Lepisosteus oculatus: one gene and its partner. The protein of the gene in region 2 interacts with the protein of the main gene of each other region in a pairwise test. Links are inferred from orthologs where the notes say so. Each region holds a gene or a part of one and is shown on either strand. Other genes may lie near its edges.

What was found. The genes of interacting proteins can lie anywhere in the genome.
Region 1: the proteins of uncharacterized protein C1orf94 (region 2) and gcc1 interact in binary tests that used the Homo sapiens proteins (3 or more experiments, as listed by UniProt). The two-hybrid records come from large-scale screens. The link is inferred for Lepisosteus oculatus from reciprocal best matches to the Homo sapiens genes C1orf94 and GCC1.

Annotation. Positions count from the first base shown.
Region 1 is NC_090702.1:13,128,549-13,136,055, reverse strand, and holds the start of gcc1 (GRIP and coiled-coil domain-containing protein 1), read left to right. Parts: upstream 1-4,500; 5' UTR 4,501-4,601; intron 4,602-5,253; 5' UTR 5,254-5,300; coding exon 5,301-6,362; intron 6,363-7,507. Other genes in the region: ADP-ribosylation factor 4-like, read right to left, coding at 3,482-3,548. UniProt on the Homo sapiens protein: Probably involved in maintaining Golgi structure.
Region 2 is NC_090706.1:1,999,634-2,007,206, reverse strand, and holds the start of uncharacterized protein C1orf94, read right to left. Parts: upstream 3,015-7,573; 5' UTR 2,984-3,014; coding exon 2,926-2,983; exon of another isoform or gene 2,574-2,925; intron 2,460-2,573; exon of another isoform or gene 2,383-2,459; intron 2,268-2,382; exon of another isoform or gene 1,671-2,267; intron 1,592-1,670; coding exon 1,297-1,591; intron 1-1,296. Other genes in the region: csmd2 (CUB and sushi domain-containing protein 2), read left to right, coding at 4,835-5,018.

The DNA.
Region 1 (7,507 bases), on a different chromosome or scaffold from region 2:
TGAATTGATCGGTTTCTGACAAAACAGCTGGAGCAGAACCAGAAAGGACAGGGAGCTCCAAGACCAAGATTGAGAATCACTGCATTACAAGATGTAACCCTCAGGAACAGTGCAGAAAAAAAAGTTGCAAAGTTCACACTTCAATTTCAATGATAACATTACAAAAGAAGAAAACCGGACCCCAATTTCAAGATGTGTCTGCAAATCAACATCAGCTGTTTTAAAGAAATTGGGGAAGTCTTACCATATGCAGATTTAGTGTTGCAACACTTCCAATAAAGACATGGTGCAATGACTTTCACATAAAAACACACACTTTAGAATGAAAGCAAAAGAAAACAAAAAAAATCTTAAAATAGCAGCTCAATAAATGTGCACAATCCAATCCTCTTAATTTCAGTTCCATGTCCATGTCATCCCAATTTAATTTGTCTAATCTATAGGAGCGCGCAGACATGCTCATTGCAAAACTGGATAGTGAAGAAAGCTGAAACACCAGACAAATTACTGAGACACAACAGCACAGGAACTAGTGCCTCACATATTTCTTCAAACGACAGGAAGACATTCAGTGACAGGGAAACAAATCTGAATATATTTTAGGAAAAATAACTGAAATATCTTAACAGTAAATGTGATCCTTTTTTTATTGTGAACAGATGAACACCAAAATTTTAAGTACATCTTGGCCAGCGTCACAAAACACACAAAATGTTGGGAGATGAACCCTTCAGCAGAAACGACTGGATCCCGCCTTGATTTGAGAATGATTTTTTTCCACAATTTTCATCTGGCTCATTTTCTCACACATCCGTTAACCTTCCAGCGTGTCTTTGAACTGTGGGAGGAAACTGGAGTACCCAGCAAAAACCTACGTGAATATGGGGAGAACATACAAACTCCACACAGATAGCAACCCAGGTCTTGAACTGAGCCCAGGACCCCAGTCCTGCGAGGCAGTAATGCTGAACACTGTCACCCATCTATGGAGCAATTAGCTACAAACTACAAACGTCGTTAGATGGGTCAAATGGCCTCCTTTCATTGGTAACATTTCTTAAATTCTTACCATACTGAGATTATTGCATTAAAAAAGGGAGATGAGTTGAAGTTGAGTATTGCTGCAGCAGGTGGACATCAGGCCATGAGTGTCAACACTACGTATTTGCACACTGGCAAATAAACACAATAGGGAATCTTCAGAATCTGATGCAACGTGTTTTGGAGTCAGAAATACAGTATTATCCTTGCCATGAAGTTGCAGACGGAACCAGTTAATTTCCATACCGCTTCAAGGTGAAAAACTCTTACTTAACTTCATTTCTACACCATTATAGGAAGATAATCAAAAGCTGCCATCACGGCCCCCCTCACCAACTCTTGGTGTACTTTATCTTAAGCTACTGAATAGCACCTCAAGAGAAAAGCAACCCCAAAAACAGAAATCTATTTTACAAACTGGTCAAACAAAAAGCATTAGATTGAACTATGAACTCAAATGATTTTTGACTGGACACTTAAATCCCACGTATTTCCATTTTCTTCATTTTTTTTAGCTCATGTTGCTTAATTCCCATATTGGTGGATGGACATGCTCTATCCTGCTGAAGTTCTTTCTAAGGAAGCCTTTTATTCTGTTGTACAGTTCTACAGATCATTAGTGAAGTATTTCTGACTGTCTAGGCATAACCACTTAAAGGAACCTGAAAGATCCAACAAAAGGCACCAAAACTTTGATATAAAAAATGCAAAGTAGGGGTTAAACTACAATACATTTAACACGACACATTCTGACATTTATTTTTTAACTTTTAACTTTTTCATTAGCATTTACAGTACTTGTTGAGGTTTGCAACAGTTTAAAATGTCTGATGCTGTGCATTCTTAAAGCAGAGAAAAACATTCAGAAGAGACATTGTTTCATCTAGTTTGGTATTGGTAAGAAAGACATGAAGTAAACACAGGTGAAATGGAAGAGCCGTGAAAAGTAGTGCACGTTTTTGCACAAAAATGAAAACATTCAATTTAAACTTTGAAGTAGGAGTGACAGTTGAGGTTCCAGTTGTTTGTTCTTGTTTGACTGGAGCCTCAGTGATCAAGACAGCCCATCCTGCTGAGATTTCACGAGCAACAGCATCAGTGTGCAATGACAGCAAGATGTCATCACCAATGGTGAACAGTGGACACAAGTGCACACGCCAGGGTCATGACAGCCGTGCATTAATTCGAAGAGCAGGGCAAGACAAGCGAGCAACTGCATATTTCAGCCTGCGGCACAAGCTGCCAGTTTGATCCGAAACAATCCGCAGAGAACTCCGCAGAGTGGGATACCACTGTTGGTCTGAAGTGCACAAAGCACTCATCACATTGGGCAGTACATGTTTTAGAGCCCAGTGGTGCAAAGTGCACAAGCAATGGAATACTGAGCAGTAGAGAAATGTGATTCAGTCAGATTAAACATCTTTCACCATGTTCCTGACAAATGCTTGAGTGCACCTAAAGCCCAAAAGACTTAGTTTCAACGATGAAGGGTGCTGGGGGTTCCGTAATATGTAGGGAACATTTTCCTAGCGTGGTTTGGGTACACTTATTTACTTAAAAGGCAAATCCATGCTTATGGCTATTGTTCTGAATTGTTCTGAATTGTGTACCACTCCTCCATATTTGGAGCACTAGCTTTTCCTCAAGGTGAGTTTGTACTACAGTGCGATGACACTCAACACTTTTACCTACAAAAGAAAAAAAATGTTCTGCCTACTTATATGATGTTTTAATCACACAGCAACATACAATATTACATATAATGAAAATTCTAAATACTAAATAATTCTAAATAATAATCTCAGATTTATAACTGGCGACGGTATGACAAGACCATGGATAGCTCACTTTGGTGCTATACAGTATCTTTGCCAATGTTGCATCACTAAGTGTTCCTTTTACATCCTAAAAAAAGACGGACACAACACTGAAGGCCTAAATAGAGGACTCATATTCAGAATAAACAAGAAATGGAAGAAAATAATGTTTATGTTTTCGCCTTCGAGTTATAATTCCTAACAGTCCATAACCAGTTCCAGTATAGGTAACTTCCTAAAAACAAAACGTTACCATTTTCTAAAACGTGCAGTAACTACATTTAAAACGCACGGACACCGGATTTCTTGCATAATGCAGGAAAGGCATTTCCTAACTGCATTATTTCACAAAAAACCTTGCTAAACGAAATGGAGAAAAGGAATAGGCATTTCGATATCCATCACTATTGTTATCTCCACTCTTTCAACCTCAATGAGCAGCAATAGAATTAAATACCTCTCGTAGTGTTATCGTGACTTATTCGGTACTGTTATTAACAAATCGTGCCGTCCCCTTTGTCGCTCTGTACAGAATGTAACCACAGAGGCCCCATCTTTTCCTCCTCGTCTCTGGGGCAGCTCTAACAATACCCTCCCTCTGCCTCCGTATTGTCAATGCTTACCCATAAGTATCCTCATTTGTTTCTTGCCAAAAAGCTTGGAGAAAAGCGACGAGATAGTGAGGCCCATGTTGTGCGAGAGTACCCCCCCTTTAACACTTCGAGTGATGTCTACAGTTAGAAACAGAAATCGTTTAAACAGCCCCTATAGAAAATGGGAGTCTCTCTACTGCCTCCTCCTCTGATGCAGGTGCCACGTCCAGGCCAACGCGGAAGAAATTACGTCACCGCTTTCATGAAACTTTATTAGCAATCATAGGGTGTCTCATTTCCAAAACTGCTGTAATAAACCCAATCTGCCCCCAAACGATTCTGTGAGCAACGCTCAGAAAAATGTATGCTTTATTTTGGAATGTTTGGTAGATGTATGCAGCATAACACACATGCATTACCTTTGCAAGTACAGACGTAATCTGCTAAAATGGAAATGACATGTCACATTTTATCCGTCCATGAACACAAAGCCGCTTATTCCTGGCAATGGCCAGAATAACCCGGTGTCCTGTCCGAGAAGCATAAGGCACATACAGGAGCATGCCCCGGGCAGGACACTATATTTTAATATTTTCGTTAATATTGTACCTCGAACAACCTGCAGGGTCCGCCGTATGCGTTACAATATCAACACCCTGTAAAAGGTATTTACAACTAATGATCGCTGCATTATAATAAGATCTTTAAAATAAGACCCCGCGTTTTTCGTTTGTTCTGCTAATTCAATTTGAACATACATTTATCTCGTCTATTGTCTAGATATCTCAGGTTGTTAGTTAAAAAAAAACAGCCAGGAGATCAACCCGGTGGGGAGCAACAATTATTTTACGATACGTCGTAATTTTGTTTGTTTATTCTGAAACAAATATAAAGTAAAGAGACAAGCATACAAAATAATAAAACTCTTCTCTGAATGCTTCAATTTTTCACAGACTAATTATTTCCGACCTTACTAAGATGGCCCCCATAAATTTGTTGTAAAAACTTTATTGCTTAACAAATCCAATATACATGAAAACTCAGCCGTTACTAAAAGGACCCTTTCCAGGAAGTACGAGTTACGGACACGTAAGCTGTGTACAAGATAGCAAGCTTAAACGACTAATCGAGGACAGAGAGAAAAAAACAAGTACGTTTGCAGCTTTTTCATTAGTTCAAAATACGAAATGTAGAGTTAGTAGATGTTCTGTATTCGAGACATTTCTCCATGTGACTGTCAGCTTTGTTAGGCCTCCAGGAAAATTCCAGATATCACAACATTGCACTTTGTTTTTATTTTTTATTATTTATTCATAATGGAATTATTAACTTTATGGCAGCCGTTGCTGAAAGATGGAAACTAAAGCTGAGAATTACATCTTAAATTAGATATTCTTGAGTAGAGGTTTGCTTGCATAATTTTATTAACTCTTATTTTGAGTAGAACTGGTCTTTTTAGCCACTCAGAATGCTTTTTCCTTCAGTTTTTTTTCAGTGCACTGCTTTTTCCTTCAGTTTTTAAATCGGAGATTCTCTTGGTTAGCACATTACAGTTTGAAGTGAAAGAACGACATCTGAACTCGTTTCTATGCATATCTAGTTCTCCTTTGTTGCGAGAATTGAATGACAAATGCTCGGTTTTATACGGTGGTTTGCTGTGTTTTATTGCATATGCGAAATGATCATCCCCACCGTCTTTGTGCGTGTATTTGTTTCACGTTTATTTTTTTACTTAATTGTTACGGGGATTTCAAATTTCATGTTAAGTTTTTGTCTGATTCATTTTTCTTTTTATTTCATAGTGCCTCGGGACATGACGTGTATGATTGTTTAGCTGAAACCAGCAAACATGGAGAAGTTTGGAATGAATTTTGGGGGTGGCCCCAGTAAGAAGGAGCTGCTGGAAACTATAGAAAGTCTGAAAAAACAGCTGGTTCAGTACCAGACCCGTTTTAAAGACGTTGTCAGGGCTTACAAAAGCCTTCTGAAGGAAAAGGAAGCTTTGGAGGCAAGCTTGAAAGTTCTGACTGTATCCCAGGAAGCTGACTTGAGCTATTCGAATGCAACGCCTTCTGGGGCCTCTGGCCTGGAGCGGCGTTCTTCGGACCTTGGAGACGACAAGTGTTCGTTGCACAGCGAAGACAGCGCGGACACAGCGGCCAGTGTGGACACCGCTAACAGCGTGGCCAGCAGCAGCACCAAGGGAGAGGCGACCGAAGAAGAAAAGAGCCTTGGTGAGCACGGGCCGGCTGTGTCCGCTTTGCAAAGGGCTGAAGACAATAATGGCTCGGAGAGTGGCGTCAGCTCCAGCAGTGGGGAGCAGCAGGTGGCTGGGGAGGCTGACAGGAGAGTCCTGCAGCTGAAAGCCCAGCTGTCCACCCTGACCAGCTCCTTGGCCACTGTGACGCAGGAGAAGTCAAGGATGGAGGCCTCCTTCCAGGCGGACAAGAAGAAGGTGAAGCAGGACCTTGAGGATCTGTGCAAAAGCCTGGAGGAGGAGAGGAGTCATCATGAAGCGGAAGTGAGAAGCCTGCAGGAGCAGCTCGCGGAGGCCAAAGCCCGGGTCATCACCCAGCAACACGAGCGGGCACAGGAGCAAGGAGACCACGCGCTGATGCTCCGTGAGCTCCAGAAGCTGCTGCAGGAGGAGCGGGCCGCCAGGCAAGATGTAGAGCTTAAGCTGGAGGAGACCAGAGAAGCTCTGGTAGAGAAAATGACAACCGCCGACCGTGTGGGAGACTATGAAGCCCAGGTTAGGGTGCTTTCCACGGAGCTGGAGGAAATGAGGAAAACTCTCGAGGAGGCCGAGAGAGAGAAGTGCAAAGCCGACCCCCGCGTGGGAGAACTACAGCAGGAGATTGAAGATCTCAAAGCGCACTTCCAGCTACAAATCCAACAGGAGATGAGAAAGGTAATTTTGGTTCTCTTTCATACGGTATGTTCTTTAGCTCTTGTGAGTAGTTCATTCAGCAAAGAAGCTTGAAGAGAGTGGAGGCTGAGTATTGCAATCCAGGAGTCACAAGTTCGAACGTAGATGAGATTTCATAGGTTCCCCAAAAGGCAGCACAAAATCAGCTGAGCACTGCTGAAATTGATTTCCCCTGCCTGCTGCACAACAGCAAGCCTTAGAATCGACCAGGTGCTCGCGAGCCTGCGGTGGTTTCTGTGAGAGACGCACCATTGCTCCTGACACTGCTATCTCTCCTGTGAGGCACAGTGGAGCTCGCTGAGTGTTAAATGATTGACAGTGTGGCAGGTGTGCACGCGCATACAGTGCAGCCTGTAAGTATTTGGACAGTGTATTTGTTTTGGCTCTGTATTCTAGCACATTGGATTTGAAATAAAACAATATCCATGAGGTTAAAGTGCAGAATGTCAAGGTTAATTCGAGGGTATTTATGTCTATATTGGGTGAACGATATACACAGCCCTTTTTACACATAGTCCCCCCATTTCAGGGGACCAATAGTAATTGGACACATTAACATAATCTTAAATAAAATAGTCATGTTTAGTACTTGGTAGCAAATCCTTTGCAGTTGATGACTGCCTGAAGTCTGCGACCCATAGACATCACCAGACGCTGGGTATCTTCCCTGGTGATGCTCTGCCAGGCCTGTAATGCAGCCATTTTCAGGTCCTGCTTATTTCGGCGGCTTTTTAGCTTCAGTCTTGTCTTCAGTAAGTGAAGTGCATGCTCAGTGGGATTCAAGTCGGGTGATTGACCTGGCCAAGAAAGTTCCACTTTTTGGCCCTGAAAAACTCCACAGTTGCTTTAGCAGTATGTTTGGGGTTAAGGCTCTGCATGGCTTGGCACCTCAGTACCTGTCTGAACTATTATCGCCCTACTCTCCACCTCGCAACCTTCGCTCTTCTAATTCTGCTCTCCTTACTGTCCCCCAAGCCTGTCTACATTGTATGGGTGACAGGGCCTTCTCCTGGTATGCCCCCAAGCTCTGGAACTCTCTCCCCAAGGATATCAGAGAGTCACCTTCTCTAAACTCCTTCAAATCCAGACTCAAAACCCTCTGCTTCAGAAAAGCCTTTTCTTAACTG
Region 2 (7,573 bases):
TGGCACAGTCACGTGGGCACAGTTACCTGAGAGGTGGCATTCCCTGAGCAGCCAGGGGACAGATGGCACTGTTTGTGTGGGAGATTAGGGGCCTGAGCTTCAGCAGGCGAGACAAGAAACAACAGAAAAGCACCCGCAAGCAGGCTCGATGACAACACACGCGCACACCTGAACGACAGGCTCGGAGCGAGCTGGCCAGTTTTTTTTTCCCTGCAGATCTGTGATACACTGTAATAATGGAATTTGAAGAAGACAATTCTGAAAAAGAGATAGTTTTTCAAAAAACGTACGAGTTGCCCTTTCTACAGAAAATTTCAAGCAGTATGAAAAGGATTTAGAAACGATTTAAACTCCAGCTGTTGTTATCAATAATTACTGTACATAAAGCAAAACAACGGCTGTAATAAGTGATTCAGTTTGGTGTTAGTTCACCAGACTTTTTTTTACAGTTTATCTTGAATGCTGGAAGTCCTGTGTTGTGTCCATTCCTTGTAGGCATCTGCAATGCCTGATGTGAGTCCGGCGTCCACTCTCAGGTGTACATTTCAGAACAACTGACTTTCTAATTACTATAGTTATGATACAGTAGCTCATATTTTCCAGTGACTGTGAATTAGTATCTATGAGCTTTCCAAGTTAATGTCTTTCCACAGATCTCTTATGATCTGTAGCGTTTCTCTTCAGTCCCTTGATTCTGAATGATGTGCTCCTTTCTCAGCACAGGAACATGCGAGTGCAGCCTTGGCACCACTGAGGAAAGGAAGAAACGGAGCTCTAGCAACTTTGTAAGAAGGGGGAAAGGTAAGAAAAATGGTCACGTTGTGCTCCAACGTTTGACTGGTGCCGGTGCTTCGCCGTTTGTGCTTCTACTGTACTGCAGGCGAACCCTTAGCTTGAACTTTTTTTTTTTCCTTAGCTTGAACTGAGCTCGCCGCTGGAAGGAGGGGCTTTTTTCCCGTTTCAGGCACGACGGCTCATGAATGAATTTGCAATCAATTATTAAAAAATAAAATAAAAGTTGTACACAGGGTTTAAAGGATGACCCTTACTCAATCACAAGGTTTGAGCCTTGACCGCCTTATTTTTTTATTCTCAAATTAAAACCTCACGTGCGGCATAAAAGCTTGGCCCTCTCTCCAGAAATCCAACCTTGAATCTACTGTGACCCCGCAGTAACGCGCCGAGAAGGCCGTACTTGGACACACGCTCCCGACCCTGCTGGCCGGCCGAGTTCACGGCCACAGGTGCCGGCCCGGCGCTGTTGGCGGCGCTAGACTCAGTCCGGCTGACGGGTACCTGTCTGCAGCGGTAGGCCGTGCCGATGAGCCGGCCGTCGCCACCTGAACCCTCTTCCATATTTCATAGCAGACTTTATCCAAGTCGTCTTCGGGCGCTTTGTCGTGTATCCACACAGATCGAGGGAAGGGACCCGCCGCGTAGGCCCTCTTCAGCTGGCGCTTGGTTTTAACGCGATCCACTCTCGGGAACATTTTCCTGAAAACTCGAGTGTCTTTAGTGAAGCTGGTTTGGGCTGCTGACCACCCTGAAGACCCGACCACACCAATGGAATGTTTGGGTTTAATTCTTCGATCTGTGATTTATAAATAATAACAACAATAAAGGAAACCATAGCAACAAGTGTATTAGAAGTTTGAGCGACAACAGGTTACAGTACGTGCAAGTGCGCGTGTACTACAGTATGTACAGCCGGTATATTTAAACACAACAATCTGGATGGATAGGAATGAATATAACACGGGAATTCAAAAGCGACAAAGAAAAATATCTTAGAGGGATAAAGCCCAACGAGGCAGAACGAGCGCAACATTCGCAGAGAAGGGGCAGTGAACGAACTCGAAAAGGGTATTCAAAATAATTGACTTCAGAACAATACTTTCTTTCCAGCTCCCGAAACAGACCCGGTTACAACCTTTGTGCGGCGATAAATTCGGACAGCAAGTGGAAGCTTTAGAAATGGCGAGGAGCCGTTTAAACATAGTTTTAAACAATGAATAATACGCTCACAGGCGTCACAGAGCTGCTCGCCCTGTACCTACAGCATGAGCGCAGAAAGCGCAAGCGGAGGGCGCATGAGGCTCTAGATGGCGGCAGGGAGAAACCTGTCAGCTCTCTGTCGTGGGAGGTCTGGAGCGGGCAGTGCCAGGGGAAGACAAAGTCCCGAGAGGAGACGAGAAGAAACAATTAAATGACTTGTTAATGCCACACTGGCGTTGCCCGGGCACTTTAGGCATTATTTAGCATAATTTGTGAGTATGAATTCTTGACTCTGCACGTAGACACTATTTGAATATTATGTTTAAAGACAGACACATTTCATTAACCGGATGACTTTATCGTCAGGGGTGTAAGGAAACTAATTACCTGTTACGGCGAAGAAATGCAAATGACACTGAAATTCACTGGCGTGTGTTCGGCGTCAATTGTAGAGGCTGTCTGGCCTTGAAGAGCGGAAAACTGTTTCACAGATCATTTTAAACGCACTTAACTGTTCATTTAACCAAATATATCAGTATTACAAATGAATAGCATTGCATTATTGTGATCTATACTACCACGTCTATCCAAAGTGACAACTGTAGTATTTCCGACAGGAAACTGGGGTGTGACCGGTGATGGGAGCTGTAGGGGCTGGTTCAGCACCGTAGTTAAACCGCTGCTGCGCTTTGGCACGATTCCTCTCGGCCGACTTTGGTGGAGCCAGCGGAGATACCCCGATAGTGCAGCTGGGGTGCCAGACCAGCAGCAGGAGCGAGCAGGGTCCCCAAATGCTCGGAGTCAAAGGACTTTGATTATCTATCGGGTGCAAAACAGATGAACTCTCGAGTCCTTGTTACTCCCCGGAGGCAGCGGCGAGTGCAGCTGAAGCACATTCTACTGCTCTCCGCAGAAAATCGAAAATCCTACCTCCTGCCCGTCCGGCGGTTTGGGGGCGTGATGTACGGTACATGCTAGACGTGGGCATTTTCTGAGTGCTACCGTTAAAATGTACAGTATATATGCATTGTGTAATGTATATCCGATAAAGCTTTCTCACTCCATAAGCAATACGTACGATGTCAGCTAAATACGTTTTGTGATTCAGTGGCTTACAGTGTGACCTCACTGCTTAATCATCTTTACACATTTAATTATTATTTTTTTTCATCTTTAGCTACTGGGTCCCGCTGTTTTGAATAAATGTACTGCATTTTGAGGAGCAGAGAGTATTAACCTTATAGTTCCCTTTGTTCTCCTTGTTAAATATTAATTGCTTTAAAAACTTTGTTGTACTAAAAAAAAAAACGTGAGCGTGTTTTCAAATTATTTCCACTTTGCTCTTGCTCCGAGGTCAGTGAATAATTCAGAGTATGATAAATGATTCAAGTACAAAGCAATAATGTTCACTCTAAATTGTAAACCACTGTAAACGCGTTCACATTGTAATGCGTCTGTGTATTCTGACAACACGGTCATTTGTGTTCCAATGAAAAAATAAATGCCGACTAAAATACTGCAAGTTTCATGCACTGCTTACAGTATTTAGTGTTATCAGATATCCAGGACGATACTCAGGTTTTAGATGATGGTTTCGTGTTCTTGTCAGAAACCGTCAAATATTAATAAAAGATATTGCCCTGTAATTTAATTAATACATTTCAGTTCTACACACGTAAGGCGAACACAATGGTTAGATAGTGCCAATACAGGACGTGGCCAGGTGTTTTTCATACTGTATATGGGCTTTTACCTGCGAGGAAAAGTGAAAGTATAATTGTGGATCCCTCAGAAACCGGTATACGTAATGGACTCAAACTGATACCTTCAATCGTTTTCGTGTACTGTGCACAAGAGCAGTCTGGGTTTTAACACATTCTTTTGTCTTTTTGAGTGGTGTATATACTGTATATACAGTATATATAAAAAAAACACCCGTGAAGGTTCAGAGTGAGATCAGTAACGGGCTCAGCGGCGCTGCACGCCGGCAGGTGGGGGCGTCTCGGCCCGCGGGCTCGGGCCCTGGGGACCCCCCTGTGTAACGCATTCCGTGGTCAGCCGTTCATTTAAAACGTATGATTATCAATCTCAAAAGTATCATGTGAACGAGCAGAGCGCCAGGACACGAAGCCTTATGATAGGCTAAGCACGATCACCAATAAGGCGGGTTATACTCGAAGGAGAGAGAGGGAGAACGCGAGAGGGGAGAAGCCGCACTCCGCAGTCTCCGCGCTCAACAGCAGCGTCGATAAAACGTGAAATACGGTAATCACGAACGGCCAGGAGAAGCTGGAAAAGAAACGAACCATTGTTCCGCTGAGAGACAATCCCAAGATGTGTGAGAAGAGGAAAACTTTACTGTCGATAAAAGGCATCGGTTTTCCTTCACAGTTGCGTCTGATCAGCGCTTAATTGGCAGCAGCGTTATAATTCCACACCGGAGTGAGACCGGGGATATGAACAGTAGCGATTATCCTATTCGTTCATCTAATACATCAAAATAAGAATACTGTCCATCTTCGAAGGAAGAGCAGAGCGGAAGGCGGGTTAACCCTACCTAAAACACAAAATAGAAAACCCGGATTTCCAGAAGGGAGGAGTACATATGAGCCTTGATCTCGGCTAGATAAGTCTTTCTTGTCTTTTTCTTGGTTTTTTTTTTTTTGGGGGGGGGGGGGGGATCTTTTGGCTTGAGATTTCCCAACCCCGGGATCTGCAGGAGATGGTTCATTCCAGCTGCAGGAGCGGAGCCTCAATGCACTGGGATTTTTCTCAGCGCCGATACAAAGTGAATCTTCCCTTTCAAACCATCTGATAGCGTCGCTGCCAGATTTCTGCCATGAGAGCCTCTTTGAATTCGGAGGGAAGAGGACTGGTAAGGACTGCGTGTAGATGCTCTTACAGCGGCCCGAGGAAACTGGACAGACTGGGGATTTTTGCGCTAATGAGGGTGGAAGTGCCGGTACACTACTGGAGCCGGGTTCTCTTCTTGTACATGGGATTGCTGGCTTCTTCTGCGAAGGGTAAGTTGCCCATTTCACGTTTCCGCCAGCGGGAGAAGTCAGGAGCAGTACCCTGTGCGACAAGACGGCGTTTTTGTACTGTACGCTTGTTGGTTAGCGATGGCTGTTATTTACTGTCAATCCATCGTTAAGTTCCTCGGAGATAAATAGATTTGAAACACACCGGACGCATAACGCGGTGCCTCGGACATCCTCCATTATCTGGATACAATAGCTTATGTTCAGCATCCAGCGTGAATTCTCTGGTGAAGGCATGAAACGGGTGTTAAAGGGGAGAGGGGGAGAAAACTTCCGCTGTACTGCGGTTAAAACCCCTTTTCGTTCTTATCTCTTTCCCCGTGTTTCGTGATATTGGCTCGTCGTCCTGCTCGGTCGGTGTAATAAGCATGGCACCCCGTTTACCTGTTTATAGAAGACAGGTGCTTGTGCGCTGAAGGAGCGGTCGTGCACGCTGGACTTGCTGTGTCCTTCGCATGTTGGTCTGTTCTGTCCAAGCCCGATTGTAACCCCCCCCCAACTCCACCCCCTCCGTCCTAAATGTGGTCGGGTTTGTGTAAAAACCTCCTATTCCTCCAATCTCTACAGTACACAGAAGACTGGAAGAATGGCAGAGATTCAGTACTGCGATCTTGCCAAAAATAGTTTTCTGTGTATGAGCGAGAAGAAGGCTAAGATGATGAACTTTTTGTTGTTGCTGCTGTTATGTTAATAATCTACAGTAGTAGTGGGGAAGCGGGTGTGTATAGGAGTTGTGGTGGTGGAATATGTGTATATACAGTATGTGTGAGCTGGAGAACGGAGAAATTTGTCGGCAGATTCTTAATAACGCACTCCAGTTACAGGCAGTGGCTGCTGGAGGCTGAGTTGGGTACACCATTCTGTTTGCCGAAGGAGAGATGGAAGTCCCTCCTTCAATCTCGTGTTGACACGATGGAGTTTATTTTTAAAATTAAATTCCCCAAGAGGCACGCGTCTACCCTGAGTTTTTACAGAGCTTTTTGCCTGATTTTTAATATCAATACTGTGCGCCATAACTTTCCCATGTATCTGTATAAGGAGCGCGGCTGGCGTTGAACAGTCGGGCAAACACTCTCCCGCGGAGAAAAGTCACTCTTTATGTTTACGAGCAGTGATTTACGTCACCTTACAGGCTCGTTATTAATTTATTGTATCGCATCCTTGACGCGAAGGCGCTTGGTGTGAGCGGGACCACGGCCACTCGCCGCGCAGCGCTCGTGATGCACTACGCATCTGTACACAGAGGAACAAGGTCCGTCGTTTTGGATAAAACCACCAGCCAGATACCCTGATGGTGATTAAAGGCTTGATCTGAGATTTGAAACTGCACTTTCATTGGACCACAGTGTTACTTTCCAGCACTTTATTTAATAAACACGTCTTATGTTATTAAATAAAGTGCAGTTATTCAATACTTCGTCAGTCGTTTAACTGTAACAAATACTATATTTGTATTACCGAATTATAGGGAATATACTGTATACAGTAGTTGATAATGGGGAAAAGAGGGCGGCGTGGCGGCTAGCTCCTGACTAGAGCTGGGACTCCTGGACTGTGACTTCTGCGCTGGCAGGTGGGTTGTCTCCGGCTGCTCTGGAGTCCGGAGACCAGCTGGGTGGCTCCACTGGTGCCATGCCTGCAGGTGCCCAGGGTGTGGTCCTGCCTCCTGCCCGTGCCCGGCTCCCACGAGCTTCCGGGTATAAAGAGCTTAAGGAAAAATGGATGAAAGGACAGACATACAGTAGGAAAACATCAAACACTCTTCGTCCGCAAAAAAAAAAAGAAATCACACTTCTTTCTCTTTGATTTGTCAAAAATGCCTCCAGGATTATGATCTGTATATCACCTACTACTGCAAACCCGAAATAAAATAATGAGGATTCCACTTCACACACAGTTACTGTACGTGAATGCGCCTCTCTCAGACGCCGCGGCTCGATGTTCCCTAGTCCTGTTGCTGTTGAAGAAAAACCGGAGAGAGTGGGTGAAATAATAAAAAAAAAGAAATGCGTCGGAGTTAGTTGTAAATGCAAAGAAAGCAAATGCGAGATGTTCCTGTCACGGCAGCGATGGGCGGATGAATGGACTGCCTCCGTGTGAAGCGCTCTGCGTTAAAGCCGGAGCTCGCCGGTTCCTCGGAGCGCGCAGAAGGATGGAGACAGAGACTGCACGTCGTCCACTTATCTGTTCAGAAGAGCATTACTTTCCTTAAACCGATTAATGAGTAAGAGAATTTGAAAGCCGCTTATTAATCAATTTCCACTGCGATTTCAAAAGTATAAATAGCCTTATTGTCTCACAGCATATAGAAGCAGTGTAATTGCGCGTTGCCTTCCTCCGCGATTTTATTTGAATTCGCTCTCGCAAGCAGTAGCCTGCCTCTCCCGTTGTGCGGCACTAAAGCTTCGTTAGAGCCCTTTTCTCAGACGCGAGTGCTGTATTACAGGTGTGAAAATAAAATGAAGCTTAGAACTAAACCTAGTAAACTCGAAACCGATGCAGACGTGTCTTCTGCGCTCCTACAGTTAAAATCACTG